Linked DNA regions of Macaca mulatta. The protein of the gene in region 4 interacts with the protein of the main gene of each other region in a pairwise test. Links are inferred from orthologs where the notes say so. Each region holds a gene or a part of one and is shown on either strand. Other genes may lie near its edges. The genes, in order: PSMB1, HSBP1, PRKAA2, KIFC3, LENG1, FAM161A and ZBTB8A.

The links.
Region 1: the proteins of KIFC3 (region 4) and PSMB1 interact in binary tests that used the Homo sapiens proteins (3 or more experiments, as listed by UniProt). The two-hybrid records come from large-scale screens. The link is inferred for Macaca mulatta from reciprocal best matches to the Homo sapiens genes KIFC3 and PSMB1.
Region 2: the proteins of KIFC3 (region 4) and HSBP1 interact in binary tests that used the Homo sapiens proteins (3 or more experiments, as listed by UniProt). The two-hybrid records come from large-scale screens. The link is inferred for Macaca mulatta from reciprocal best matches to the Homo sapiens genes KIFC3 and HSBP1.
Region 3: the proteins of KIFC3 (region 4) and PRKAA2 interact in binary tests that used the Homo sapiens proteins (3 or more experiments, as listed by UniProt). The two-hybrid records come from large-scale screens. The link is inferred for Macaca mulatta from reciprocal best matches to the Homo sapiens genes KIFC3 and PRKAA2.
Region 5: the proteins of KIFC3 (region 4) and LENG1 interact in binary tests that used the Homo sapiens proteins (3 or more experiments, as listed by UniProt). The two-hybrid records come from large-scale screens. The link is inferred for Macaca mulatta from reciprocal best matches to the Homo sapiens genes KIFC3 and LENG1.
Region 6: the proteins of KIFC3 (region 4) and FAM161A interact in binary tests that used the Homo sapiens proteins (3 or more experiments, as listed by UniProt). The link is inferred for Macaca mulatta from reciprocal best matches to the Homo sapiens genes KIFC3 and FAM161A.
Region 7: the proteins of KIFC3 (region 4) and ZBTB8A interact in binary tests that used the Homo sapiens proteins (3 or more experiments, as listed by UniProt). The two-hybrid records come from large-scale screens. The link is inferred for Macaca mulatta from reciprocal best matches to the Homo sapiens genes KIFC3 and ZBTB8A.

Annotation. Positions count from the first base shown.
Region 1 is NC_133409.1:1,497,375-1,501,333, reverse strand, and holds the start of PSMB1 (proteasome subunit beta type-1), read right to left. Parts: upstream 2,801-3,959; 5' UTR 2,725-2,800; coding exon 2,612-2,724; intron 1-2,611. UniProt on the Homo sapiens protein: Non-catalytic component of the 20S core proteasome complex involved in the proteolytic degradation of most intracellular proteins. This complex plays numerous essential roles within the cell by associating with different regulatory particles.
Region 2 is NC_133425.1:79,174,380-79,179,198, reverse strand, and holds the start of HSBP1 (heat shock factor-binding protein 1), read right to left. Parts: upstream 3,187-4,819; 5' UTR 3,101-3,186; coding exon 3,056-3,100; intron 2,498-3,055; coding exon 2,431-2,497; intron 1,863-2,430; coding exon 1,744-1,862; 3' UTR 1,742-1,743; exon of another isoform or gene 1,568-1,741; intron 472-1,567; exon of another isoform or gene 1-471. UniProt on the Homo sapiens protein: Negative regulator of the heat shock response. Negatively affects HSF1 DNA-binding activity. May have a role in the suppression of the activation of the stress response during the aging process.
Region 3 is NC_133406.1:183,917,773-183,920,625, forward strand, and holds part of PRKAA2 (5'-AMP-activated protein kinase catalytic subunit alpha-2), read right to left. Parts: intron 2,051-2,853; coding exon 1,812-2,050; 3' UTR 1-1,811. UniProt on the Homo sapiens protein: Catalytic subunit of AMP-activated protein kinase (AMPK), an energy sensor protein kinase that plays a key role in regulating cellular energy metabolism.
Region 4 is NC_133425.1:53,376,667-53,380,864, forward strand, and holds part of KIFC3 (kinesin-like protein KIFC3), read right to left. Parts: coding exon 4,108-4,198; intron 1,225-4,107; coding exon 1,113-1,224; intron 1-1,112. UniProt on the Homo sapiens protein: Minus-end microtubule-dependent motor protein. Involved in apically targeted transport. Required for zonula adherens maintenance.
Region 5 is NC_133424.1:66,390,846-66,395,842, reverse strand, and holds the start of LENG1 (leukocyte receptor cluster member 1), read left to right. Parts: upstream 1-1,755; 5' UTR 1,756-1,778; coding exon 1,779-1,910; intron 1,911-3,024; coding exon 3,025-3,204; intron 3,205-4,464; coding exon 4,465-4,727; intron 4,728-4,971; exon of another isoform or gene 4,972-4,997. Other genes in the region: voltage-gated chloride channel TMC4, read left to right, coding at 243-373, 470-625, 931-1,009, 1,102-1,170.
Region 6 is NC_133418.1:62,899,786-62,903,983, forward strand, and holds part of FAM161A (protein FAM161A), read left to right. Parts: intron 1-2,730; coding exon 2,731-2,830; intron 2,831-4,198. UniProt on the Homo sapiens protein: Involved in ciliogenesis.
Region 7 is NC_133406.1:208,334,566-208,339,292, reverse strand, and holds the start of ZBTB8A (zinc finger and BTB domain-containing protein 8A), read left to right. Parts: upstream 1-1,673; 5' UTR 1,674-1,739; intron 1,740-1,956; exon of another isoform or gene 1,957-1,998; 5' UTR 1,999-2,099; intron 2,100-4,727. UniProt on the Homo sapiens protein: May be involved in transcriptional regulation.

The DNA.
Region 1 (3,959 bases), on a different chromosome or scaffold from region 4:
AAGTATTTTAAAGGAGAGCAGAGGAGGCCGGGCACGGTGGCTCACACCTGTAATCCCAGCACTTTGGGAGGCTGAGGCGGGCAAATTGCCTGAGGTCAAGAGTTCGAGACCAGCCTGGCCAACATGGTGAAACCCCATCTCTACTAAAAATAGAAAAGTTAGCCAGGCATGGTGGCAGGCACCTGTAATCCCAGCTGCTCGGGAGGCTAAGGCAGAAAGCTTGAACCCAGGAGGCGGAGGTTGCAGTGAGCCAAGATTGCACCACTGCACTCCGGCCTGGGTGACAGAGTGAGACTCTGTCTCAAAAAATAATAATAAAAAAGGAGAAGAGGAGATTGAGGGGAATAATTAGCTTGCTTTTTGTTTTGTTAGCTGTCTCGAGTTATTGTGAGAGCAGAAAAACCAGTTAGAAATATTTTACCGAAGAAGCCAGAATTGAGGGACTCATGAGAGGCAGAACTGGAAAACCAGATTTGGGAGTTATCCTCCCAGCGATGAGACATGAAAGAGTGCTGAGTGATAAACAAGGGGGCCAATGACTTGTTTAACTACATTTAAAGACAGAGTAGAAAAAGAGAATGAGGCCTCATTTTGTGGAAGCAAAGGCTGCCTGAAAGTCAGCTGCAGTAAACACTAAAGAAAAAGAACAATGACTGAGAAAAAGTAATCAGAAAGTTCTAAGTAATTTTTAGGGCAGTAATGGCTTAAACTGGATTACTAGGGATTAAAAAGTGAGTAATGAGTAGGGCATACTGAACACTGAAAATTCTTATTTATAGAGAATAGCGTTATGAAATGGGTCTAATAACCCTCCCTACAATGTACAACTTAATTAGTCATCACAGGAAGTGTTAAGGAGTATAATGGAAAAGCATGAATAAACTCAGTGGTGAAATAGCTAAGTCCTGGCTCAACTTCACACCAGCTCTCTGACCCTGACAGTTTAATGTCTAATATGACCCTAGGATGCTAACATCATCGAACATTCACTTTTCATGATGATTAAATAAGATGACGGCTTGCAATTTACCAAATACATCTCTCTCGATTCTCACCAAAAACTATGAAGCTACTAATGAAGAAAATTTAGGTTCAAGAAGTTCAGAAGTAACCAAAGACCTGACTGTCCTTTAGTGGCAGAACTAAGACTAAAATCAGACTTTCATTGTCTTTCTAACACACTCCAAAAATATGCATTAATATTTCAAATTTATGAGGAACCAATTAACATTTTTGCTTTGTTTTTAAAATTTATTTTTGTAGAGATGGGGTCTTGCTATGTTGCGCAGGCTGGTCTTGAACTCCTGGCCTCAAGCGATAATCCTCCTGCCTTAGCGTCCCAAAGTCCTGGGATTACAGGTGCGAGCTACAGTGCCCAGCCAATACTTTTTGTTTTCTTTAAGAACCATCGGTTCATTCAAATTGAATGTATATATTTTAATGTACAAGGCTTGATTAGTAACTATAACCACTGCTTCAATTTACAGCTCTTCCCTGTCAAGAGTCTTAAACAAAGCATCTTTCTATAACCCTGTATCTCTGGCGTGCCACCACGGAAAATTATATTACTCAAGATAAAGTTGGTAATTGAAATAAAAACCAAAACTTGAACACAACATACAAGATCACACATATTAAAAGGTCCATCTTCTGAGTATTTTGTTTTCCTGAACTTAAGCTAAACGTTTAAAAAAAAAAAAAAAAAAAAAAAAAAAAAAAAAAAAAGCCGGGCGCGGTGGCTCATGCCTGTAATCCCAGCACTTTGGGAGGCTGAGGCGGGCGGATCACGAGGTCAGGAGATCGAGACCATCCTGGCTAATACGGTGAAACCCCGTCTCTACTAAAAACACAAAAAATTAGCCGGCCGTGGTGGCGGGCGCCTGTAGTCCCAGTTACTTGGGAGGCTGAGGCAGGAGAATGGCGTGAACCCGGGAGGCGGAACTTGCAGGGAGCTGAGATCAGGTCACTGCACTCCAGCCTGGGCAACAGAGTGAGACTCCTCCTGACAAAGAAAAAAAAAGCACTTATCTATGAAACTAAGTTTGCTCAACCAATCCCACCTTCTATTTGAAATAAAATGATCAAACTGCTACAATTAGAAATAACAGAAATCAGGCGGCTACAATTAAGACGTTTCCGCTACCAACCCAGCTACGCATCTAACAACACAGACCAAACAATCCTAACTTTTAAGTTTCAGACGCTAAACCTCTACCCTCGCCTGCTGGCATAAGGAACGTGTACATGAGGTCCAGTTTGGTCTTCCACAGAGCAGAGGCTATGTTTCAATTTCTACTTTACCGTCGTACAGCAGCAAGGAGCATGGAGTTCCGGTCCACATAAAAACCCAAATGACAGGGCTGTAATGGGAAACCCTAAAAACCAAGGCTGTATCGCAATCACCAAGTAAACTTGACCAAAGCGAGCCTGAAGAAGGAAACACAGGGCATGAGAGGACGGCAGGGAGACCGGCCTTGTGCGGACCCACTCAGCTCAGGGTTCTGAGGCCTGCAGGGGACCGGGGCAGCGCCTTGACGGCGGTGACTCCTAAACAGGCTTCAGCAAATGGGGGAAGGGCGAAAGTGAAAGCGGAGCTCTCTGGGGTTTTTACCCTCCGTTGAAAGCGTAGGGTGAAAATCGCAGCTGCAAAGGGCCCGCGGCTCCGTGCGGCTCCATCCCCAAGTCTCTGCCAGGAGCCGAATACATGGCTACGGAGGACAACATCGCACGGCTGCGCCTGCAGCTCCAGCTCCGACACCTGCTGTCTCACGGCGAGATGGCTGCCTTGACCGGACGTTACGCCACTTCCGGCTTCTCCTGAAGTTCGCTCCCGGCCTCTCTATCTTGCGCTAGTCGTTGCTCCTGGAGGGCTGCAGGGCGGCCTGTCCCTTTGGTAGTTGGGTCCCGCCCATTCCAAAAAAGCTGACAGAAAAGTAAAGGTTTCCCGCCCCCCGTCGAAGAAAACATTGGAATTCACCCCAATGGACGAAAATTTAAGTCTGACCATACAAAAACATTGGCAGAACTATGGCGCAACGCCAACTCGAATAACGGTGAGCGCGTTAATTGTCCTGGCTAATAAAAAATGTATATAACATTTCCTATCCTTAAAGAGCTCACAACCTCACTGATAATAAAGAGTACAAAGAAAACGAGCAGTATAACATGTGACTACGCCACAATGAACTACAGAAGGGAAAATCAGTTCCCACTAAGTTCTAGTCCCACTAAGAAACAACTGCGGATAGAGCCTTGTGACCACAGTGCATGAAACGGGAGTGGCAGAACTGAATATAAATGCGTGTGTAAACACAAGCCGTTTGTTTTGCTTAGTGTTCCTTGTCATTCTACACCCTTGAAGATCAGCTAGCGTTCTTGCACAGGTAAGGAGCACGCGCTTACTGAGTGCCAAGTACTGTCAGTCTCTGTCAATCTCCCGACAGCCCAACGGTAAGCACTATTATCACTATTCAATTTTACAGAAGAAACTGCGGGGGAGAGGTCAGGTAACTTGCCAAAGGTAACACCGCTAGTTGCTTTAAACCACCACCACAACAACAAAACACACACACATATAACCATTTAAAAATCGATCTGTCCTATGTCCAGCAAGGGCCAATTAGAGACGGCTGTGGCACGGCGGCCCCGCCCCGGAACTCCTCAAGAGCTTCGCCCCTCCTTACCTTAAGCTCCGCGCCTATGGAAACACAGGAAGTGACCTATGCCCACACTTCCCAGGGCCTCGGCCCTAGTGGGAGCAACTCGCTGAAGCCGAGGGCAGAGCTGGCGGAAGTGACATTATCAACGCGCGCCAGGAGTTCAGTGAGGTCAGGCAGGTTCGCTGTGGCGGGCGCCTGGGCCGCCGGCTGTGAAACTTCGTTTCCTCTGGCCCATGGTCATCTTTGCAGTGACCCAGGTAACAGCTTGTACTCTTTTCTGAGGGTTCGGGCGGAGGCGAC
Region 2 (4,819 bases), about 26 Mb from region 4:
CAGTCGGTTGATGGGAGTTTTGGCTGCCACATAACATAAAAAGAGACCCACAGATGCATCGAAGACTGGTAGGACATTTTTCCAAATTATCTCTGGATAAGAATAATGATGACATCACCCATAGAAAGCAGTTATGTGATGTACTCACATAGTGAATAAACCCTACCTATCGTAAAGATAAAAGCAAAGTTAAGAGTCTGTCTTCAATATCCCAAATCTGTATTTCGCATAACTTAAAATGTGGTCCAGAGCAAGCCCAGAAAATAGGAAACTAGGCATCTTTTACTGTATATTCTGCTTGGTACACTACCTATCTAAAAATACTCAGGATTTTGATTTATTTTTTTATTTTTTTTTTGAGACAGAGTCTTGCTCTATCACCCAGGCTGGAGTGCAGTAGCATGATCATGGCTCACTGCAAACTCTGCCTCCTGGGTTCAAAGGATTCTCCTGTCTCAGCCTGCCGAGTAGCTGGGATTACAGGCGTGCACCACCACGCCCATTTTTGTAGAGACAGGGTTTCACCATGTTGGCCAGGCTGGTCTCGAGCTCCTCACATCAAGTGATCTGCGCGCCTTTGCCTCCCAAAGTGCTGGGATTACAGGCATGAGCCACCACGTGCCAGCAACCGTTTTTTTTTTTGAGACGAATCTCACTCTGTCGCCCAGGCTGGAGTGCAGTGGCGCGATCTCAACTGCAACCTCTGCCTCCCTGGGTAACATTCATTTTTATAGAGAATTAAAACGTTATAAATGAAACATGAGAAAAGGGAGTTTAAAACTTATTTTTCACATATACAGAGGAAAAGGACTGTGCACTCAGTGCTGAGTGATAGTGTACATTTACCTATCTTGCTATTGGGTAGTTTTAATGGGCTTTCCTCTGACATCTGAAACTATTCAGTGGAAATTTAAATGAACTCCAGAGTAAAAGCTTAATGTGGCCACAATCTAGTTTACCAATGTCAAGTTACCAAGAAAGTCTCCAGAATTTAAGCCATTTAAGAAGGTGGTAATGTGGGCGACTTATCAGCGATCCCCTCCACCGCCCCCCGCCTCCCAAGAAAAGCAATGGAAAATCTTCCAGTGACAGGCTTTATAGGCCAACAAAAACCCCTTTATTAGCTGGAATGATAAAAACTCAGTGGTTATCTAATGTTAGCCAGTTGTCTTAACTAACAGTGACAGAAGTCTAATTAATAAAACCTGGGAAAATAAATTCAGTGTAAAGAATGAGTTTGGCATGAAAAATTCCAAAACATGAAGTCCACAGCGGGTAAAGAATACAGGGATGTTTGCTGGGATCATGGCTGGGAACTGATCTACAGAATGTCTGACTACATCAAAATTATATTTACAGGTTCTATTCTTTTAAGGGAAAAAAAAAAAAAAAAAAAGGCCGGGCACGGTGGCTCACACCTGTAATCCCAGTACTTCCAGAGGCTGAGGTGGGCGGATCACTTGAGGTCAGAATTCGAGACCAGCCTGACCAACATGGAGAAACCCCATCTCTACTAAGAATACAAAATTAGCTGGGCGTCGTGGCACAAGCCTGTAATCCCAGCTACTCGGGAGGCTGAGGCAGGAGAATCCCTTGAACCCAGGAGACAAAGGTTGTGGTGAGCCGAGATTGTGCCATTGCACTCCAGCCTGGGCAACAAGAGCAAAACTCCGTGTTAAAAAAAAAAAAAAAAAAAGAAAAGAAAAAAAGAAACGAAAAAAAAAATTGCCCCCTTCCTCACCTTCAACTCTTTTGTGTGGCAGGTATCTTGTTTTCACCTTCCAGTTCCTCCACCCCAGCCTGTGTCATGAGGTCTGCGATGTTCTTCTCCAGATCATCAATGCGACTACTCATATCATCAAGTGGTGAAGTTAAAGACAACGCGTGCCAACATCTCCTCATTGAGCCCTTTCCTTCCGTCCCTGTGGACTACGGCCTTAAACACAACGATTTTAGGGAAACCGGTCTTCCAATTTCCTTTAGACACTGTTACAGGCTGGTGGGTAAGAGTATAGGCCTCTGGGGCATGGCTACTCAGCATCGGTTTCCGGCCCTGACCCTTACTAGTGATGGAACCCCTAAACCTCAATTTATGCATTTGCTAAAGATGGTAACACTACAACCCACTCATAAGGTCATGCTGAGTATCAAAAGAAAGACACACACAAAAGCGCTTAGTTCACAGTCCATGGTCAACCACACCAGCTATTAGGATTGGTAGATGTACGCTCCTTGAGCCAGGGATCTGTCTAGCTCAGCTGTACCCCGAGCTCTCGGCGCAGTCCTTCTTGGAAACACAGTACAATCCAAGCTCAAATTCTGTAAGTGACTGGCTGAAGCTGGCCTGAAAACTACTCATTTATCCCCACCGCTGCCCGGCAAAGAGGCTCCAAAGGCCCACAGGAGGCCCACTACAGATAAAAAGGATATTTCTCCCAATGATCTGGTCAGACATGGTCTGAAATTTATCTTGCATCTGCTGCAGGAGTGTCTGCACCTAAGAAAAACCGAAACAAACAAACACGGTCCACACTGATCCTGAGACACCTTCCTGGGATCAGGACGTGAGCTCTGATCTCGGGTTCCAGCCCCATTTCTGCCTCTGGGCAGCTGTGCCGCCTTCAGCAAGGATCTTCCTTCTCGGGGCTTCCGTTTTCCCACCTGTCTAATTAGACTGGTGGGCTGGGGAGGCCGCTGCGACTCAAAGTTCAGGGTCTTTAGGCTGTTTCTGCCGGGCTGAGGCACCCAGGGGTGTGTAAGGAGTCGAAGGGCGGGGAGGGTGTCAGAGCGAGGCAGGAGGGACCCGGGGGGCGTTCGCGACAGGTGAATGGGGTTACCGGAGGGGGTCGGGCTTAGGAGCGCTCGCGGGTAGACGGGTCCGCACCGAGCGCCCAGGGGGTCAAGGTGGCCGGGAGCCTCGGCCAGAGACGCTTCCAGAAACCGGGCCTCGGCAGACGCCAAGCGCGGGTGCGGTGGGCGCGCCTCTGTCCAGCAGGGCCTGGCCCGGCGCCGCCCGAGAAGGCCGCGGCCTCGGGCCCTCACAGCCGTCCCTTACCACCGAGGTGAGGTCCTGCACGGTCTTGGGGTCAGTCTCGGCCATCTCCCCGACGCCCAGCTTGGCGGTTATGTCTCAGACCGTAACCTACACTTCCGTTTGTCGGCTCAGACGCCCCCGCCCGCTGCTTCTCGCGACGAGACTGGCTGCTCGCGGGACCGCGGGGCATTATGGGAGTAGTAGTTTCTCCCGCACCGGAAGGGCCTCGAGGCCGAGCGCTTCCGTTCCAAGGAGCGGCCCCACCCCACGCTCCCCGCCCTCTTTTGCATAGCCCCTCCCCTCCCCAGCGTGCCGTTGGTGGGGTGGGAAGTGAGACCAACTCAGAAATGGAGCAATAGAGGCAGGGAGTGGCCTTGGCCCCCATTCCAGGCTGTAGTCAGTCGAAAGACGGCTCTGGGTTTCTTTGGCCTGTCAGGACGAACTTACTGAACTTTTGTCCTTCAACAAGACCCACTATACCCTTGTAACTGCCCCCAAGTCAAGGAACATGAGCCCCCCGGAAGCCCCATGGCCCCTGTCCTGTCCTGTCCTGTCCTGTCATCTCCACCCTGAGGGTGGCCAGCGTCCGGAGTTTAACCCTGCAGGTTCATTGTGCCCGTCAGGTTCATATGAGGGGATTCAGACAGGAAGCTGTCCATCATGTCTGGCTTCTTGCACTCCACGCGATGCCTACTGTTGAGTGGGGAAGGCTTCCGGCATCAGGGTTAGACTGTGGGTTTGGGTGTTGAAGGAGGTGGGCACTGCTGAGGTGGAACCTCTAGTTCCAACCCCACAGATGGTCTTTAGGATTGGGTCTCAGGGCAAGGGGATAGGAGAGTCCTTGACTGCGGGCCTGGCAAGGAGATGTGTGAAAGTTCTGGAAACTTTCACACATCTCATTTAAGGACTGCTGTGTGTGAGGGTCAGCTCCAGTTTGAGTTTAGGTGGGGAGAGTCTGTAAGGGGTTAGACCTGTTACAGGAAAGGGTCCTGATCCAGACCCCAAGAGATGGGGTTCTTGGATCTCCTGCAAGAAAGAATTCAGGGCGAGTCTGTAAAGTGAAAGCAAGTTTAAGAAAGTGAAGGAATAAAAGAATGATTACTCCATAGACAGAGCCCCGAGGGCTGCTGGTTGCTCATTTTTATGGTTATTTCTTGATTGTATGCTAAACAAGGGGTGGGTGATTCATACCTCCCCTTTTTAGACCATATAGGGTAACTTCTTGATGTTGCCATGGCATTTGTATACTGTCATGGCGCTAATGGGAGTGTAGCAATGAGGACAAACAGGGTTCATTCTCATTGCCATCCTGGTTTTGGTGGGTTTTGGCCGGCTTCTTTACTGCAAGCTGTTTTATCAGCAAGGTCTTTATGACCTGTACCTTGTGCTGACCTCCTATCCCAATCCTGTGACTTACAATCCTTTTAACTGTCTGGGAATGCAGCCCAGTAGGTCTCAGCCTCAGTTTACCCAGCTCCTATTCGAGATGGAGTTGCTCTTGTTCAAACGCCTCTGTGAGACCCACCAGTGTCTCTAACAAACCTGGAATCCAGTTGGCCTTGAGGCATAAGACTCAACTCCCTTCACCACCCCTTCCCCCTCACTTACACCTTTGCGTCTCACCCTACACACCTCATCCTTCCCTACAGAGAGATCTTCCTTTCTGTGTAAGGATGCACAACTTTTTTTGTATTTGGCTGTTGTCAACTGGTGTTTGGCTAGTACTTCACCCGACTACTTGAAATAAACATACTCAGTGTTTTAACTTAATCCTCAGAAGACCCT
Region 3 (2,853 bases), on a different chromosome or scaffold from region 4:
TAAAAATTACCCTTTGGTGCCACAAGATGGCAGTATTTCAATAATTAAACTTTAAACTATCTCAAATTGCAACCCGCCCTCATTCCCAAATTGGTGAACGATTCTTTTATTTTGATATTAAGAAGTTGGACTTATAAGTTACTTAACATCAGTTTTTAAAAGATCTGCAAAGCCATATGATGTGACACAATGCAAACTCCTAATTCAAAGAATATTTAAAGATAGACACACTTGTTTTCCACTAACACAGGAGTAACTTAGTCTAATATTCTCATTTGCTTCTTGGTAGAACATACATTACTTTTGTCAAAGAGAAACCTGTCAAGGTAATGTAATTTTTTTGTTTTCAAGAGCTTAATGTTTTTTAGGGTAATCCAGGTAAATAAGTGTTAATTACAACATAAAAATAACAAATAAATACAAATTAGATAAATTACACATAATTTAAAATTAAATACTTTTACTAAAACAAAACAAAATATAATCATAAACTATTATCTACCCTGCTATAGTTTGTGTTTTTTTAATCTTAAAAAAACCTGCACAAAGCAAAACAAAACAAAACAAAAACTGGTTTTTGCTTAAAAGCACTGGTGTGTGAATACACATATTTATTTATTGAAGAGAAAAATTTTTTCTTGATGTTCAAAGCTTCCCTGCCCTATCAGGTTCAACAGTGAAGGTCATAGCCTATCAAGCTTTGGAAGTGTACGAAAGCCCTTAGGGCCAGAAGAGTGTTTTCAAACTTGGAACTAGAAAAGATTCAAAGCTGTACCCACCAACCACTGAGGATCAAACAATGAACAAAGACAAGAGTGACTAGGATAGGTGGGGTGAAGGGAGTGGCTTGCCATGAAGAATCAGCATTATGAGATGCACCAGGACCCTAACATCTAACACACAAAATAAAGATCAAAGATAATTCTCATTTAAGGGACTGTTGATACCTTGCTTTTTTTCATTTAACTATTTTATCACTGTTTGGTGAAATGCAAAAATAAATAGAGCCAAAAGAATTTGAGAAAGGTAGGTTTTGAAGACATTTTTTAAAAGATGTAAGTATATGTAAAAGACAAAAGTTGTTGCAATTCCAGGTGTTCCAATACTAATTTGAAACTCGAATGCTCTTAAGATAAATATATTATTCAGGGAAATCTCAAGATAAAATACTGAGTCAGTTACAGCTGCTTTTAAGAAACCTGAAAATTGTGGTTACCTGTGACATGACCACAGTCCTTCTGTTGAATATACTAGGCAGTATTTGTAAAAATACTGTTAAAAGAACTTGGCTTCTGAAACCTTGGGGGCAGGTTTTTAAGATTTCAACATTTAAATAATATCTTACTCGTGGTTCTTTTACTTTTTAATCTTCTTTTGTTAAAATAAATTGGGGGCATAAACACAGCATAAAGCCTACTGAAATTTAGGAAGTAAACTGGATTTACCTACACCAAACAGTAAAGCAAGGAGGTGTTGCCAAACCACCCTTACATTGAGATGGTTCGCCAGTGTGGTGTGTTAATCATCCGTAGTGAACTCATTATTGTAATTAAAAATCTTCATCGATATTAACCTATTAAAGATACTGCCTATGTGAATTTATCATAGGCACAATAGAATTACAGATTTCTACAAGTAAATAAGATGTCAGATATTTTGTTTTCAGTAATTTCAATAGCATTGTGTGTCCCCTGGATATAATTCATGTCTCTCAATTAGTATTGCAGTGGATATTATCCAAAAGTAAGATAAAAATTTAAAGAATATATCTGATTTTCATAGTGCAATAACAGAAAGAAACTAGAGACAGATCAACGGGCTAAAGTAGTAATCAGACTGGCACACATTTCAAAAAAATCCATGGTGTGACTGCCCAGGCGAGGTGAAACTGAAGACAATGTGCTTCCGATCAAAGAGCCAGTGAGAGAGCCAGAAAGTGAATGGCTCTCTGCAGTTGTGGAATCAAAACTTGATCTTGGTCTGTGTAAGCCAGCAGCAGAACAGGAACGCTGAGGTGTTGAGGAACCAGACCTCTGCTCCACTACTTCATCTGAAATGGACCAAAGAAGAGCAATTTATATGAAAAGTATATATGCCCAAGCCCTTCCTATGAATTTATGATATTCAGAATATTAAGTAAACACATCTGAGCAAAGGCAACTTAATAATGAATGTCATGTTTCAGTGTTTTAGAAGCACAGTTCTCTTCCTTCCAACAATCATAACAAACATCGCTACCAATCACAACACGTGCACACAGCCAAAATGTGGCCTCTAAGTCCTTCTCAAATCGGAGTATTGGGCATTGATACTGGCATCAATCAAACTGATATCTCTTCATGTGAAGAAAGCGTATCCTTGACAACTTATTTTCTTCTAGCATATCAACAAAAAAAATCATTAAGGTAAAAATAAAAGTTACCATCATATATTGCCTTGGGGAAGTGGGGGGCAAAGTGAGAGAAATCTTGTTAAAACTGCAGATTCTACGATTCCCAGGACCAAAACACAGGGATCTGTGTTTTAATAACAACATGTAATTTCGATGAAAGAGGTCTGGGATCCATATAAACACTACCGTACATATTTGATGGTAGTTCAAGAGTAAAATTTAAATACTTTGTTTAAAACAACTTCCCTAACTCTAAACTCAGTTCCATTTTTGTTCCATCCAGCACCTGACCCTCAGTTTATTCTGGTTTTATCCCACTTGGGCCTCTGAAATGAATAATCAGATTTGGTTTACCCAAGTTTAATTCTTAGCACACACTAAGTTCTTGGACATGACAATTTTCCCTGATGCCTCTGGCTCCTTGATTGCCATGAGTACCTAAATCCAACCCAAATCCCAAT
Region 4 (4,198 bases):
GCCCCCTAGGGGAAGGGGGCCCACAAAGCTGTTATCCATCATTCACACTATAGTATGCATTCACTTAGTACATTTCTTCTTGAACAGACCAGCTGACTGGGGTGGAGCTCTGCCTTGGGGATGGGGAGGAAAGGTCAGTTGTGGGGCTCAGGCACTGCACCCAGTCAGGATGAGACGCCAGAACGGATACTCTCTTTTCCTCCCTGGACTTCAGTTTCTTCATCTAGACAATGAGGGGCTTGGGCCCCAGTGAGCAAAGAGCCTTCTGAATGGCAGGACAGGGCTTAGGAATCAGATGGGCATATAGGCCTGGCAGCAGGTGATGACTGATGGTGTATCTGAGGGCCCAGATAGTGGGGCAGCCACAAGGGTATCTGGCAGCATGAGCTGGTCATGCCACCATCTACTTCCAGCCTTCGTTGGGATTCCTGTGTTCTTGTAATGAAGAGGAAACATCCCCCACTTCCAGCATGGCCCACCTGCCCTCCCTTTTCACCCATCTGTTCCAGCTCACCATCCAGGTCTCAGCTCTAACTTTGCCTTCTCTGGGAAGCCCCTCAACACATTTGCCTGTCCCATACCCAGGAGAGCCTGTCTCAGCCCTGGAAAGGGGCAGGGTTGGGGTTCCCTGACAATCACCATTGTCCATTCTCATACTAAAGTGAGCACCGGGAGGCAGTCTGTGGGGCCATGACCATAGCCTCGGGCTGGAACGGCACCTGGCACAGAGCAGGCACTCTAGAGCTCCATGCAGTGCATGGTGGAGTCTCAAGCTTGACCAGGCCCCAGGTCAGAACAAGTGGCTTTCCAGCTGCCAACAACCCAGTGCTGCAGTACCACACCCCTCGGCCATCCAGGGCCTGGGGAGTCACCTGCCCAAGCACTGGGGCCAGGGCTTCTGAGCTGGACAGACTCAAGTTCAAATCCAAGGCGGACCATTTAATATCCCTGTGGCTTTGAGCAAGTTCCCTGCCTTCTCTGTGCCTCTGTTTCCTTATCTACAGAGATGGGATTAGAATAGCGCCTCAACGGTGGGGTGAGCTCCAGGCATGACTGCCAAGCCAGGTCGAGGCCCCGAGGCTGGTGTCCACCCCCAGCCCTCCTGCAGTCACCTTTCAGCCGCACGAGCTCGTTGTGGCACTTCTTGCGCAGCTGCAGCTCACGGCGGTACTTGCGCAGCAGCTCCTGGTTGTTGCTGTTGACCTCCTCGATGGCCTGGCCTATCTGGTGGGGGGTGCACACCACTGTCAGGGGGTCAGCTCCATCAGCCTTGCTGGCCCAACTGCCCACCCCTGAGGGGTGCTCACTGCCTCCTGCCCCTGGCTGAGTACCTGACACACACTATCACATGTCAGACTATCGCAATCACCCCTCTGGGTAGGTACTGCTGCCATCCCCATTTTACAGATGATGAAACTGAGCCCCAGAGACTCTAAGCTGACAGCTCAAGGCTGCTCTGCTAATAAGCATAGAGCCAGGACTCAGCCTCCACACCATAGCATGAGTGCTTGACTGTGATTCAACCAGACTCAAATTCCAGCTCTGCCCCTGAGTAGCTGGGGATCTGAGACTGCTGACTCAATGTCTTTAAGCCTCAATTTTCACATCTGGAAAACAGGGATAATACCATCTAAATCATGAATCTATAAAGATCTCCCAGTTACATTTCACAGGGGGAAAGAAGATGCAAAATCACACATACAGTATCCCGCTGTATACAGAATCACACGTCCCCTTTCTGGGGTAGAAGGAAAGTGTATACAGTGTATACAGTCGTCCCTTGGTAACCATGGAGGATATAAAACTCCACAGATGCTCAAGCCCCAGATATAAAATGATATAGTGTTTGCCTGTAACCTACACATATCCTCCCATATACTTTACTTTTTTGAGACAGGGTCTTGCTCTGTTGCCCAGGCTGGAGTGCAATCACAGCTCCGTGGACGTGGTGGAAACTCACCATGAATGGTGTTATCTTGGCTCACTGTAGCCTCGACTTCCCAGGCCCAAGCGATCCTCCCACCTCAGCCTCCAGAGTAGCTGGGACTACAGGTGCAGGACACTGCACTCAGCTAGTTTTTTTATTTTTGTAGAGATGGGGTCCCACCATGTTGTCCAGACTTGTCTTGAACTCCTGGGCTCAAGTGCTCCTCCTGCCTCAGCCTCCTGAAGTGTTATGATTACAGGCATGAGCCACTGTGCCCAGCCCCGCCCATGTCCTTTAAATCATCTCCAGGTTACTTACAATACCTAATACAATGAAAATGCCAGGTAGGGGCTGGGTGCGGTGGCTCATGCCTGTAATCCCAGCACTTGGGGAGGTCAAGGTGAGCAGATCACCTGAGGTCAGGAGTTCAAAACCAGCCTGGCCAACATGGTGAAGTCCTGCCTCTATTAAAAATACAAATCAACAACAACAACAAAAAAACCTAGCTGGGCATGGTGGCATGTGCCTGTAATCCCAGCTACTGAGGAGGCTGAGGCAGGAGAGTCACTTGAACCCGGGAGGTAGAGGTTGCAGTAAGCTGAGATCCCGCCATTGCACTCCAGCCTGGGCAACAAGAGCGAAACACTGTCTCAAAAAAAAAAAAAAAAAATGCTGTGTAAATAGTTGTTATATGTTATTTTTACTTCTATTATTTTTAAATGTTGTACTGTTATTTTTAATCTTTTTCAAATATTTTTGATCTGTGGTTGTTTGAATCTGGGAGCGCAGAACCTGTGAGTGGGGGAAGGGCCTACCATATATTCACACACACACATATCAATTGGCTTAAGCATGCTCAGAATGGTCAGGGAGAAATGCTGAGAGGCCACACTGGGGGAGTTGGGTGGGTGGCAGAGAGGCCTTTCCTATTCACCTGATGCCCCGCTATGGAGTTTGACTTTTCACCATGTCCACGTATTATTGACATACTCTTTTAAAGAAGAACTATAGCCGGGCGCGGTGGCTCACGCCTGTAATCCCAGCACTTTGGGAGGCCGAGGCGGGCGGATCACAAGGTCAGGAGATCGAGACCACGGTGAAACCCCGTCTCTACTAAAAATACAAAAAATTAGCCGGGCGCGGTTGTGGGCGCCTGTAGTCCTAGCTACTCGGGAGGCTGAGGCAGGAGAATGGCGTGAACCCGGGAGGCGGAGCTTGCAGTGAGCCAAGATCGCGCCACTGCACTCCAGCCTGGGCGACAGAGCAAGACTCCGTCTCAAAAAAAAAAAAAAAAAAAAGAAGAACTATATTTTGTTCCCAAAATATATTAGTCTTTGCAAAGCTATCATACAAATTCAAGGAGCTAACGGCTATAAACAGCTCGACATGTAGGAGGCACTTAAGAGGCACTGGCTATTCTCATATATACAAGTACAGCTTGAAAGAATTAAGTTAAACCTAACAGAGATAAGACTGTATCGGCCAGTCATGGTGGCTCACACCAATAATCTCAGCACTGTGGGAGGCCAAGGCAGGAGGACTGCTTGAAGCCAGGAGTTCAAGACCAGCCTGGGCAACATAATGAACCCTGTCTCTAATAAATAATTTTTTTAAAAATATGTATGTAGCATGTTTTTTGTTTTTGAGATAGAGTCTCGCTGTCACCCAGGCTAGAGTGCAGTGGCACGATCTTGGTTCACTGCAACCTCCACCTCCCGGGTTCAAGTGATTCTCCTGCCTCAGCCTCCTCAGTAACTGGAATTAACAGGCACCTGCCACCATGCCCAGCTAATTTTTGTGATTTTAGTAGAGACGGAGTTTCGCCATGTTGGCCAGACTGGTCTCAAACTCCTGACCTTGTGATCCGCCCGCCTTGTCCTCCCAAAGTGTTGGAATTACAGGTGTGAGCCAACGCGCCTGGCCTGCATGTTTGAAATATGAAGTTATCTGTAACATGTTTGGTTTAAAGAATCATAGTAAGACAAATAGCCGAATGCCTGCCCTAAGCAGTCTAGTTTCAAACAGGGCCTATAAGGGCAGCAGTAAGTCATGATGGGTGGGGCAGGGGCTGCTGTCTGAGGGGCTTTGTCTGAGCTTTGGAGGGGAGCCCTGGGTGGATGTTGTGCCTCTCCCAGTGCGCTCCCTCACCCTGGACCCTCCCACCCACTGCCCTCGCTCACCTCGGCCTTGACACTCCTGAGGGCCTCCTGCAGCAGCAGCGGGAAGCCGCGCACCTGCCGCTTGAGCCCGTTGTAGTCGTTGGTGAGGGTC
Region 5 (4,997 bases), on a different chromosome or scaffold from region 4:
AGCGAGGCTCCGTCTCAAAAACAGCGAAACAAATTAGCCGGGAGTGGTGGTGCACACCTGTAATCCCAGCTACTTGGGAGGCTGAGACACGAGAATAGCTTGAACCCAGGAGGGGAGGCTGCAGTGAGCGCCACTGCACTCTCGCCTGGGCCACAGAGCGAGACTGTCTCAAAAAAAAAAAAAAAAAGAGGCACAGATTCTTGTGTTTCAGATCCCCTTTCTCCGTGCCTTACCCCCACCAGCTTACCCTCTTCTCCACCTGCTCTCCGGCTGCCCGCACCTTCCGGGCCTCCACGGCGAATTTCTTTTTCCCCTTGGTTCTTCTCCTGGGTCTGGCCATCTCCAGCGTTCCCCTGCTTTACAGCATCTTCCTGTAAGTGCGAGAGGTTCCCGCCTCTCTCCCTCCCTCTCCCCCCATTCAGTGTTCAGACTCCTGGCTCTACTTGAACCCAGCCTGTCTTGACTTCAGGATCCCGCCTTCTAAGCCGTGTGGTCCATTCCGGGGGCAGTCGTCCATCTGGGCCCAGATCCCTGAGTCTATTTCCAGCCTCCCTGAGACCACCCAGAACTTCCTCTTCTTCCTGGGGACCCAGGCTTTTGCTGCGCCCCTTCTGCTGATCTCCAGGTGAGGTGGACCAGACTTCTGGGTCTGGGTTTGAATGCGTGTGATCTGGGGGCCACCACCTGCGTCCAAGAGAGGAAAGGCTTGGGGGTGGGAGCAGGCAATGTACTGAGTCTGAGGGAGGAGGCCTAGGCTCCTGGACTGCTGGGTCCGAAGGAGGAGGTGGGCGGGACTTAGGACTCCTGGATCTGAACGCGGAGGTGCTGGGAGACTGAACTCCTTGAGCCTGGACGAGGAGGGACTTAGGGGTCCACATCCCTGACTTCGAAGAGCGTGTCAGGAGTGGCTTCCGTTCCTGTCTCCTCCAGCATCCTGATGGCGTACACTGTGGCTCGGGCTAACTCCTACGGACGCCTCATCTCTGAGCTCAAACGTCAGAGGGAGACGGTGAGCCAGGCGGGTCCCTGAGAGGGCCCCCGGGGAACACGGAGAGGGGCTGGGGAAGAGGGCTGTCACACCTCCACCTCTCTTTGCCGCAGGAGGCGCAGAATAAAGTCTTCCTGGCACGGCGCGCTGTGGCGCTGACCTCCACCGAACCGGCTCTTTGACCCCCGCAGCTCACGCCCCACTTTCAGACCCCAGGCCCATTGTAAGCCTAGGTCACAACATCTGTAAACTAGGAGAACTGGAGAAGACTCCACGCCCTTCCAGCTTTGATATCTGGAGATTTCCAGGGCCCCTCGCCGCCACGTCCCTGACTCTCGGGTGATCTTTCTTGTATCAATAAATACAGCCGAGGTTGCTGAGCGCGCTTTGAAATCTGCGTCCTGAAGGTGGGGGCAGGGCTACCGCAGGGCAGGAGCCAATCAAATGTATGGGCATGTTTGTCGGTGCGGAGCGCACTTCCGCAAGGAGACTTGACGGTCATGTCGACCAATCGACGGCCGCATGTGGTAGCATCGGGGCGGGCCAACTTATGATTGGTTCAGATCTGTGATAAGAGGCGGTTGCTAGGGGATACCACGAGCCGAACGCCTAACATTCGCTGTGAAAAGGACGTCTCAGCCAATCACCTGTCGTTACAGGCCAGGGGGCCGTACCAACTAATTCGGAACCAATCTGCGGTCGAAGTAGGGACAAGAGGAAGGGGGGCATCCTCTCGCCAATCGGAAGTGCAAAGAGGCGGGCGTGCCAGTCCCTGGACAGCTACGACGCCATGAATATCTTGCCCAAGAAGAGCTGGCACGTCCGGAATAAGGACAATGTCGCCCGCGTGCGGCGTGACGAGGCCCAGGCCCGGGAGGAGGAGAAGGAGCGTGAGCGGAGGGCGCTGCTGGCTCAGCAAGAGGTAAGCTCGGAGGCCGGCCGGGCTGACCGCCGGAGCCCAGCGCGCACGCGCCGCGGTTGGGGGCCGGAAGCGGAGGCGTTGCGCAGGCTCAGTGTGCCCCGTGTGAAATTCGGGACCAGGCGCCGATCCCGTTTTCGAGGACGTTGCTCTGCAAACCTTGTGGCCACTTCCACGAAACCTCCCTTGATCTCGCCTTCGTCTTAGTTTCCCCCCACTGATGTATTTCACATGGCTGGAACAGTGTCTAGCACAAAAGAGCAGCTTAAAAACATTTAATGAATACATGAGCGCTTGGACAGTTCAAGGAAATTCGGATCACGTTTTAGTTTGCCTGCGCAGTTTATTTATTGAGCACCTATTGTATGCTAACTACATGCAGAGCGCCTGACTTGCGGAATCCCCAGGAGGCACTGTTCGTTCTTAGAGGGGCACTGTCATCTCCGTTGCACGGAGTGAGATGGCTTCAGTGAGGGGAAGGCACATTTAAGGAGAGGGGGACAGCCAGGCTCCACGCCATCGGGCGAGCCCTTTCCTGCACCGCCCCCTAGACACATACACACAAACACGGGCTTTCTGTATGGCTCCTTAAATCTGTTTGGTGTACACCCAACTTTCAGTTCCTTAGCTAGTCTGATCCTCCACAGTGGGTGGGAGGTAGTCTGGGTTTTTAGAATCTCAGTAGGCTGCTGAGCGCTGTTTGAAATCTGCGTCCCGAAGGCGGGGGACAGGGCTTCAGCAGTCGACTTGGGGTAGTGACTTGGAGCCATGGCTAGAATTCAGATCGTCTGGCCTAATGCAGTTTGGTCTACCTTTATGGCTGTTTTAATTGTCTCACTTGAGGTTAGGAACCCCTTTGGTTTAGGCCAGGGACCTCCTTCCAGCCATCCTTGATGACCCGTGGTTTACGATTTGAAAGGCAGTTTACAAAACCCAGGCGTTGCCTCATCTGCCTACCCTCACCCGCAGCTAGGACAGGTGCCTCTTTTAGGCGTCTAGTGCTCCCTTTCTTATAACCCCAGCACCCTGGACTGCCATTTTCTGTGGTGGGCACCAGACTCACAGTTCTTGAATCACCTCTAGGTTCTGAATGCCCTGCCTATAACTTTCTCCCCAGGCCCGTACAGAATTCCTACGAAAGAAAGCCAGACATCAGAACTCACTGCCTGAGCTTGAAGCAGCAGAGGCGGGAGCCCCAAGTTCTGGCCCTGTGGACCTGTTTCGGGAGCTGCTGGAGGAAGGGAAAGGAGTGATCAGAGGCAATAAAGAGTACGAGGAAGAAAAGCGACAGGAGAAAGTAAGCTGGCCTCACCCACTTCATTAGAGGAGCCATGAATCGAGTTGGGGGGAGAGGGCACTTTAGCCACTGCTTGTGATCAAGGTCAAACGAGAACGAACACACAGAATTTAGAACCATACCAAAGCATGACACTTAAGAAGTGTTGCCATCTGGGCACCCACAGGGCTTGGAGGTAGATGCTAGAGGTCCCCAGCTGCTAGGCAAACTGCTCAGTTCTCAAAACTGGAGGGGTCTGAAACCTTGATAGGCTTTTAAAAATGTAAATCAGCCAGCTGTGGCTCATGCCTGTAATCCCAGCACTTTGGGAGGCTGAGGCGGGTGGATCACCTGAGGTCAGGAGTTCAAGACCAGCCTGGTCAACATGGTATCTCTAAAAATACAAAAAAATAAGCCAAGTGTGGTGGTGCACGCCTGTAATCCAGCTACTTGGAGGCTGAAGCAGGAGAATCGCTTGACCTGGGAGGTGGAAGTTGCAGTGAGCTGAGATTGCGCCACTGCACTCCAGCCCAGGTGACAGAGCGAGACCCCATCTCAAAAAAAAAAAGAGAAAAAAAAAAAAAGGCGAATCATTCGCCTCTTGCCTTTTGGCTAAGATCAAGTGTAAAAAGTATGTCTGGTCGTGCATGGTGGCTCACACCTGTAATCCCAGCACATTGGGAGGCCAAGGTGGATGGATCACCTGAGGTCAGGAGTTCAAGACCAGCCTGGCCAAACATGGCAAAACCCCGTCTGTACTAAAAATACAAAAATTAGCCGGGCATGGTGGTGCGTGCCTGTAATCCCAGCTACTAGGGGGGCTGAGGCAGGAGGATTGCTTGAACCTGGGAGGCAGAGGTTGCAGTGAGCCGAGATGGTGCCACTACACTCGAGCCTGGGCAACAGAGCGAGACTGCATCTCAAAAAAAAACAGGTACATGAGCTCTTGTCACTCACCTGCTGTCTCTGGACTTGCTGACCCCACCCATGGCTCCTCTGCTTTGCTTGATCCCTTCAGGCTTCTCTTCAAGTCTCTCTGCAAAGATGCCTGCCTCTGAACACTCAAGTGGCTCCACTTGTCCCCTCCTTCCCCTGCTGTTACCTGCCACTGTCCCCCCACGGGGAACTTGGCCTCTGTTGGTGTCTTCCATCCCCAGCACCTGGTACAACTGGTTCATGACAAGCCTTAGGTACCTGTTTGCTTAGATTCCTATGTCAGGGAGACACACCTGACACCTTGAAAGATTATATCCCATCTCTTGTATTTCCTGGCCCCCTCAGGAGAGGCAAGAGAAAGCTCTGGGCATCCTGACGTACCTGGGCCAGAGTGCAGCGGAGGCACAGACTCAACCCCCTTGGTACCAGCTACCCCCAGAGCGAGGGGGGCCCCCTCCTGGCCCAGCCCCAGATGAGAAGATCAAGAGCCGTCTGGACCCTCTTCGGGAGATGCAGAAGCATCTGGGGAAGAAGAGACGGCACAGCGGTGAAGGCAATTGCAGCAGAAAGGAAAAGAAGGAGGGGTCTGAGAAGCTGCGACCCAAGGAGTAAGAAGGAAGACCCTCCTCGGCAGACCAGGGCCCAGACTTTCAGGGCTTGGCAGCAGCCCAGCATGGGCACTGCAGGGTCTCTGGTCAGGACAACCAGGGACTCGGTGAAGGGCTGGCTGGGTGAAGTGGTTCTCAACATGTGGTCCAGGAAGCCCCAGGGGTCCTGCCACCCTTTCCCGGGGTGCCGTGGTATCAAGCCTATTTTCCTGACACTGTTGGCCTTTTTCACTCGCATTCTCAGGCACATAGTGCAGGTTTCCAGAGGCT
Region 6 (4,198 bases), on a different chromosome or scaffold from region 4:
TATCATAAAAAAATCTTGAACCTCCAGACCACTGGTTTTCAAACTTTCTTTTTTTTTTTAATCAGTAGATAGTAAAATATGAGCAGATTGAAAATGGCATTAGTGTTTTAGCTTATGGATTTAAATTGTCATCAGTTACTTATGTTCAGCACACACACACTCACCTCATGGTGAGAACCAACATATATACTCACTTTCATGGTAAGAACCATGAAGCTATGTTGAGGAATACAAACATTTTCTATTGTGGCCTTAGTTAATAGTTATAATCTTATACCAGTATCTAATCTTGTTCTTTATATTATTTTTGATTGCAGTAAACTGATATATCAAAGAGCTTTGTTCTAAGGTTTGGATGAAATCTGATAGCACAAATTAACACATTAAACATCCATTATGTGATGTGTTCATTAGCACATATGTTAATGTTTAGTAGTATGTGTTGCATTTTGTTAATTTCAATATAAAAATAAAAATATTCACGGAATCCTTAGAACCCCTTCACTAGAATTCTGCAGTACAAAGTTTGAAAACCAGTGTTCCAGATGTTGCACATAAAAATGTTGATGTTTAAGTAGGAAAATATCTCCCTCAAAGCCAGGTAAGTAATATGATTTATTACTTTTTAATCTGATTTCTAAATATACATATGTGCTTTTAATTACAATGAGTATTCTTTTATAATTTAGCATTAATCCATTGACAAAGGGAGCTTAATTTGGTTAACTTGAGCATAATGTTTCTTAGAAATAGATTACTTACCCTCAGGAAGTAAACTATTAATAGCTTTTTTTTTTTTTTGAGACAGAGTCTTGCTCTGTCGCCCAGGCTGGATCGCCCAGGAGATCAAGCGATTCTCCTGCCTCAGCCTACAGAGTAGCTGGGATTACAGGCACTCACCACCACGCCCAGCTAATGTTTTTTTTTTTTAGTAGAGATGTGGTTTTACCATGTTGGCCAGGCTGGTCTCAAACTCCTGACCTCAGGTGATCCGCCAACCTCGGCCTCCCAAAATGCTGGGATTACAGGCGTGAGCCACCGCACCCGGACGATAGCTTTTTCATAACCCCAACTTGTGTATAATTAAGCCTAATTATTTGGAAGTATAATTGTTTTCCCCAATCCATTAATTTTATTATCTTGGTAGCAATTAAATAGTGTAGTTTAATTTATTATAGGACCTTGCCCAAATAGTGAGAACACTTACGGTAAATTTATATATTTTGGTTCCTGTTTCTCTTTATGTTATGTTTCCATGCGCTTTATTTCTCCTTTGACTTGCTCCCATTGAATTAACTTTGCCACTAACCTGTAGGAGATCTTATTTAGGGGGAAAAAATAACAGCAAAGGCTGGATGCCATGGCTCACATCTATAATCCCAGCGCCTTGGGAATCCAAGGCAGGAAGATTGCTTGAACCCAGGAGTTTGAGACCAGCCTGGTAAACATAATAAGACCCCCATTTCTACAAAAAATTTTAAAACATTAGCCAGGTGTGGTGGCATGCACCTGTAGTCCCACCTACTCGAGAGGCTAAGGTGGGAGGATCATCTGAGCCCAGGAAGTTGAAGCTGCAGTCAGCCATGATTGTACCACTGCACTCCAGCCTGCGCAGCAGAGCAAGAACCTGTCTCAAAAATAATAGGCCGGACGCGATGGCTCATGCCTGTAATCCCAGCACTTGGAAAGGCCGAGACAGGCAAATCACCTGAGGTCAGGAGTTCGAGACCAGCCTGGCCAACATGGTGAAACCCTCGTCTCTACTAAAAATACAGAAAATTAGCCAGGCATGGCGGTGCACGCCTGTAATCTCAGCTACTCAGAAGGCTGAGGCATGAGAATTGCATGAACCCAGGAGGTGGAGGTTGCAGTGAGCTGAGATGGCGCCACTGTGCCAGCCTGAACAACAGAATGAGACTCTGTCTCAAAACAAAAAACAAATAACAACAATAAAATAATAAATAAGAGCAAGGTCTTGTTTTCTTTTTTTTTTTTTTTTTTTTTTTTTTTTGAGACGGAGTCTTGCTCTGTCGCCCAGGCTGGGGTGCAGTGGCCGGATCTCAGCTCACTGCAACCTCCACCTCCCGGGTTTACGCCATTCTCCTGCCTCAGCCTCCCGAGTAGCTGGGACTACAGGCGCCCGCCACCTCGCCCGGCTAGTTTTTTGTATTTTTTAGTAGAGATGGGGTTTCACCGTGTTAGCCAGGATGGTCTCGATATCCTGACCTCGTGATCCACCCGTCTCGGCCTCCCAAAGTGCTGGGATTACAGGCTTGAGCCACCGCGCCCGGCCAAGGTCTTGTTTTCGGAAGAAATTCCTTACAGAGAAGATAGCTGATTTGTTCCAAAATGTTCTTGGTTTTATACACTTATAAATGAGACAAGAGGGCTTTCATTCATCTCTTCAGGTCAGTTTGAAGTCCCTTAACATATGTATGCCTTGGGGATTTCAGAAATTAAAGTGTTCAGACTATTCCTAGAGCATAATATGTGTGGTCTCAGAACCTAGGATTTTATTCTGCATTCCGTGAGAATTAACCAGTACAGAAGAGGAATCGAGGTAAACTGTGAACTGTGCTCATAATTTCTGATTTGTCAGCTAAGCTAAATGTTATTTCTTTTTTTTTTTTCATTGACTTTGTAGAGGTTGATAAGTTAAATGTTACATATGTAAGTTCTTATTTCTTAGATGATCTTTTAAAAAATTCCATTGCTTTTATTTAATTTTAGAAAGAGCGAAAAGGAAAGGATGAGAGAATACCAACGAGAACTAGAAGAAAGAGAAGAAAAATTAAAAAAGAGGCCACTGCTATTTGAAAGAGTTGCTCAGGTTGTGTTTATTGGAATTTAAGAGCTATTGTCAGTTGTTGTTGTTGTTGTTGTTGTTGTTGTTTTTTTACAGCTTTAGCTCCTAAATTTACAGTCCATTTTTCTTATGTGTTATATAACTGTTGGGATACATTATTGCTGTTTATGTTGGCTTCATCATATCAGCCAATGAGTAATTTTGCTTAAATCCGAGCATTTAACCAAGTGTGGTGGTGTGCACCTGTAGTCCCAGCTACTTGGGAGGCTGAGGTGGGCAAATTGCTTGAGCCCAAGAGTTTTGGTCCAACCTGTGCAACGTAGCAAGACCTCATCTCAAAAAAATAATCTGAACATTGAATCTTTTTGATGAAGCACATAAGTTTGATAAATAACATGCCAATCCAGTAGTTTGTAAAATAATTTTGCAAGCTGTTTTCTAATGGCTAGTCTTTTTTCAGTACAAACTTGGTTAGATATTAAGATGAGGCTTCATGATATCACTTGGAGGTCTTTGAAGAATTAAAAAAATGAAACAAAATGGCTAATTGAATCAGAGTTATTTCTGCCAGTTTTTTTTTAAGTGAGTTTGTAATTCACTCTTCTCTGCAATTACTAAAAAAACTTCCTTTCTATAAGAAAAACAAACTAGCCTTACAGACAGTAGACCCTGAGTTTACTCAGTTTATGCCCAGTTTTATAATCTTTCCCTTAAGGGAGATTTGTTCATTTTAGGTCATCTTCTCCTTTATCCCATAGGGGAGGCATCTGTATGGGTGACATGGCTTAACAATTGACAAAATCACTGGAGGTTGCAGGTTCTAAATTGTGAATTTGAAGCTGTTATAATTGGACAATAGACAGTTGGAGAATTTACCTGTAACAGATGAGCATGGTTACAGAACTGTACTTGTCAGTGACTCAGTGAGGACAGTGGACATGTATTGTGAGTGAATCTGCACGTTACAGTCTCTCAAAGTTACATAATCTTTTTGCTCACTGATCTAGATATAATTTTATGTAATGCCTTTCATTTTAAGGGATGGATTTTTTTAACATCTTTATTTCAACTTTAGGGGGAAAAATCATTTTAAGCTGTTATACATTATAATCATAAAGTGATTGGCTTTTGCCCGAAGACATTATCTCCAGCTTTGAACTGCAAGTTTTTTGTTTTTGCTTTTTACACTGCTTCTGGGTTTTTCTTATTTTAATTTTTTTCAACTTTTATTTTAAATTCAAGGGGTACATGTGCAGGTTTGTTACAAGGGTATGCCAGGTGCTATGGCTCATGCCTGTAATCCCAGCCAGCATTTTGGGAGGCCGAGGCAGGTGGATCACCTGAGGTCAGGGGTTCGAGACCAGCCTGGCCAACATGCTGAAACCTCATCTC
Region 7 (4,727 bases), on a different chromosome or scaffold from region 4:
CCGACGCGGGTGGATCATGAGGTCAGGAGCTCAAGACCAGCCTGGCAACCTGGGGAAACCGTCTCTATTAAAAATACAAAAATTAGCCGGGCGTGGTGGTGGACACCTGTAATTCCAGCTACTCAGGAGGCTGAGGCAGAGAATTGTTTGAACCTGGGAGGTGGAGGTTGCAGTGAGCCGAGATCCTGCCACTGTACTCCAGCCTGGGCAACAGAGGGAGACTCTGTCTCAAAAAAAAAAAAAAAAAAAAAAAAAAAAAAAATTGGAATGGATTATCTTCCTCAAGATTTGAACTGAAGAGGTGGAAACAGGGATGGGGGTGGGGTAGGGTGGCAGTCAGAGTTTAAGAGACTAGCACTGGTTAATGATGGAGCCCCAACATAGAGAAACAAGCTCCCAAAGCTAGCAGAATGAAGATGAGGGACAAAACTGTCATTACCTCTTCCTTGCAACAAAGTTTTTTGTTTGTTTGTTTGTTTGTTTGAGATGGAGTCTTGCTCTGTCACCCATGCTGGAGTGCGGTGGCACGATCTCGGCTCACTGCAACCTCCACCTCCTGGATTCAAGCCATTCTCCTGGTTCAGCTGCCCCAGTAGCTCGGATTACAGGCACGCACCACTATGCCCAGCTACTTTTTATATTTAGTAGAAGGGTTGCACCATGTTGGCCAGGCTGGTCTCGAACTCCTGACCTCGTGATCCGCCTGCCTTGGCCTACCAAAGTGCTGAGATTACAGGCAAGAGCCACCGCGCCCGGCCACAACTAAGAGTTTATCACCAACCTGATGTGCTCTCTTGAGGAATAAGTTTGTGGAACTCTTTTGCATTAATCTTTAATTAAGGCTAAAATCAAACCTTTGGCTATAACCATGTCCAGGTCTTTCTGGGGGAATTCTCAATGGGGGGCGCTAGCAGAGTAATCTGAGTACATCCAATATACCTGATACCTAATGGTTTTCAAATATGTTTCTACTTACCTGTTCAGAAGGCAAGGAAACACAACTAAATAGCAAAGCACCTCTGCAGTGACACAGAAGTGACATTAAGAGACAATTGTGAAGATCTTGCATCCTCAAAATGCATAATTATTCCTGAAATCAAAGTTACAGACTGTCCAATATGACTGATTATGAACAGGAGAGGAATCCATTAAAAGCTAAACCCAAGTTTTGATAATTTGAACCTTTTTCCTCCAGTTTTACTATAACACAGTACTTTTCAGTACCTGACCCCAGCATAAGGAACTAGGAAACTAATTTATAGAAGTAATGCATCTATAGTAACAGTGAAAATCCACTGATTTACTATTTTAGCAAATGTATAACCTGATATCTGTACTCTAAATATTAGAGATGTAAATTTGTCAGAGGAAGCTTGGTATACAATGAATGCTTGTATTGGAAAAGACGGAACTTGCTGTTTTTACTAATTTTGTATTTCTCTGGACTTAAACTAGGAATTATGTTCTCTTAGCTTCTCTGGGTTTTCCTCTTCAAATGAAATGCTTCTGACCTGTAGAGGTTTAGAAAAGGTTATCCTCAACTAAAACAACTGCTTCAATACAAGAGAAAACTCTGTGGAAATCTTTTGCATTTGACGTTGCTAAACTTAAGTACAATAATGTCACATGTACTTATACAGTAATTGTGGGCACGCCTAAGTCCCTCCCTCTTTCCTAAACCAAATTCCCCAGATCCTAGAAATCCAGCCCTTCTGCCCTCCGGAGGCGCCTTTCCCAACGTAAAGTACAATTTTAAATTTCAGCTCCTGACTAAAATCATGATCCGCAGTCAACTGCTAGAGAATCTGGGCACCCCGGTGCCTCTGGAGCGTGCAGCGGGTGTGGGCAAGGGCAGGGGGAGTGGGCGAAGCTGCTGGTTGGTGCCTGAAATCTGTGCGTTGCCCCTTTAATTGTGTCCCCAGCCCTCGGGCGTTTCTGTCCAACGCCCACGTCAGCAAATACCTTTTGTTTCTCTCACGTTGGGGCTACTTGTTTTAGGGCGCAAAGGAACGGCCTCGAAAGGGGGTCCTTCCCCAGCCGAGAACCAAGAATCTTCCCCCGGCCCGCGCGCGCGACCGGCCGGTGCGCCGCGGCCCGCGGTAAGTGGCGGCGCGCGGCGCCGGCGGAGGGCGGGCGGGCGTCGGGGCTGCCCGGGACCCGCCGCGAGCCTGGCCGCGGGCGGAGGCGCCGCGGGCTCTCACGGCCCGGGCGGCGGCGGTGCTGAGATGCGGGCCCTGGGCGCGCCTCACCAAGACGTCCCCGGGCCGGGAGCGCGGCGGGAGGCGCCGAGGCGAGCGGGCGCCATTTGCAGCCCGGGGCGCAGCGGCGGCGGCGGCGGCGGCGCCGGCTCCGAGGGGCTGTGGGCGGCCACGGAGGACGCGCGGGCGGCGGCGGCGGGCCGAGCCCGGGGCGGCGGCGGGCGTTGGTGGGCACCGGCTCCCGGCCGCCCCTCCCCGCGCCCGGCCGCGCCGCCCAGCCCGCCAGGCCGGCCCCTCCTGCGCGCCCGGGAGGGGCTGCGGGACAATGGCCGCGCCGTCGCCGCCCGCGCCCGCCTAGCCGCCCGGCCCGGCCCGGGGAAAGGCGGGAAGGCGCGCGGAGCCTCCTGGCGGCGGCGGCGGGAAGGCGGCGGGGACGGCGCCGGGCGTGTCTGGAGCCGTCGAGCGCCGCGGACTCCGGAGGGGCTCGGGCTGCGCGGCGCAAAAACGGGCGGCCGCCGGGGGGGCGCGCGAGGAGGGCAGGGCCGGGGCCGGAGCCGGAGCCTCTGCGGGCGCGGCCAGGGGCGCTGCCGGTGAGCCTGGCTCCCAGGGCAGTAGCCCGAATTTCTCGGTACAGCCTCCATCCTTGGTTTTATGTCAAGATGCGACATCTGGGCTTAGAAAACCGAGGGCTAACTCACCGCGCCTAACCAATGTTGAGCTCCAACTATTTGCTTCTGGACGGAACCGTACATGCTCATCTCTACCCATGCTGACCGCCTCTTTTGTGAGTTAGTCAGCGGCTTGTTCCCTTCCCCTTCAGATGCGCTTATTTATCGCTGATTGTTCCAATGGCCCTACTCCACATCATTCTGAGACGCGTTTGGAAGCGGTAGATTTACACACACACCTGGTGGGCTTCTAACCACACGTCAGTATCACTATGCTTGATAAACCTCTATATTTGCACAACTTTAAATGGAGTGCTTTCACCTATATGAATTATTTCACTTAATTTCACATAAAACAACCACTTAGGCTGACGGTAATTCCACTTTGCAAATGAGGGAACACGTGTGAAGCATGGCGTTTCACCTCTAGGCCAGGGTGACATAGCCACCCAGGACCTCCTGTTCCCGTCCTGCCTTCCCTCCTAAGGTACCTCCAGAGGAGTCTTTAGAAGGGCCAATCTTACACAGCGCTTCCCTGCACTGAAAACCTTAACTGATCTTTTTCAGGAACGCCTCCAAAATCCCCAGCAAGCTTCTGCTCCAGTCTTAATCTCCTCCATGCCTCAGGTATGGATGCATTTGTGGACTGGAGCAAGAGCCCCTCACTGATAAGCAGGGATCAGATGTCTTTATTCCTGGGAACCTCTCTGGCCACACAAGTGGCAACTGGGAAGTGAGAATCTGGCTTAGGGCCCTTGACCAAATGGGTGTCTGGGTGGATTGTGCTCAAAAATGTCAGCAGGAGGCATAATGAGTAGGGACTCCAGGAAGGAGGCCAAGCCACTAACCCTTATCTCCAAGCCCTGAAATCACCAGCTTTGCTGTTGATAATGATTTGAGGCCATGAAAAACTTTGTAAGATAGAGTAATATTGATTCATCCTGTATCATTTAAATCTAATTTTTAGATACAACTATGTCTAATAGATTTAACTCAGTGACACAATGATATGTTAATCATATTTAAAGGATTTGATGTGTTTGATTCCCTTGAATGAAGCTTTTGTTACTTTTGTGCTCAAAATTGGTCAGTGGTTCCCCATCTTACGCAGTTTAAAAGCCAAAAGCTCCATAATAGTCTATGCAGCCTTACAGCATCTGGTCTCACTATGTCCTACTTCTCTCATGATTTGCTTTCCCTTTCTGACTCCATATCCCATTGCTTCCCCGCTGCTCACCTCAGGGCCTTTGCGCTTGCTTTTCCCTTTGCCTGAAATACTGTTTCCCCAGACACCCACATGACTCTTACTTCCTTTGGACTTTACCCAAATACCATCTTCTCAATGAGGCTTTCCCCAACTATAGTTTTGATTCTCTTAAGTGTTTTTATTCTAAATCTTTTCTGTCTCATGCCATTTGTGCAGCTATAAAAATACTTTGGGACTGGGTAATTACACAGAACAGAAATTTATTTCTCACACTTCTGGAGGCTGGGAAGTCCAGGCAGTTTGGTGCCTAGTGAGGGCTGCTCTTTGCTTCCAAGATGGCACCGCGTTGCTGCATCCTCTGGATGGGAGGACTGCTGTGTCTTCACGTGGCAGAAGGGATAGAAGGGCAAGAGGGGCCAAACTCACTCCCTCAGGTCCTTTTATAAGGGCGTTAATTCCATCCATGAGGGCAGAGCCTTCGTGGCCCAATCACCTCCTAAAGGTGATACTGTTGCAATAGGGATGAGTTTTTTTTTTTTTTTTTTTTTTTTGAGACAGAGTCTTGCTCTGTCGCCCAGGCTGGAGTGCAGTGGCGCTATCTCGACTCACTGCAAGCTCCGCCTCCCGGGTTCACGCCATTCTCCTGCTTCAGCC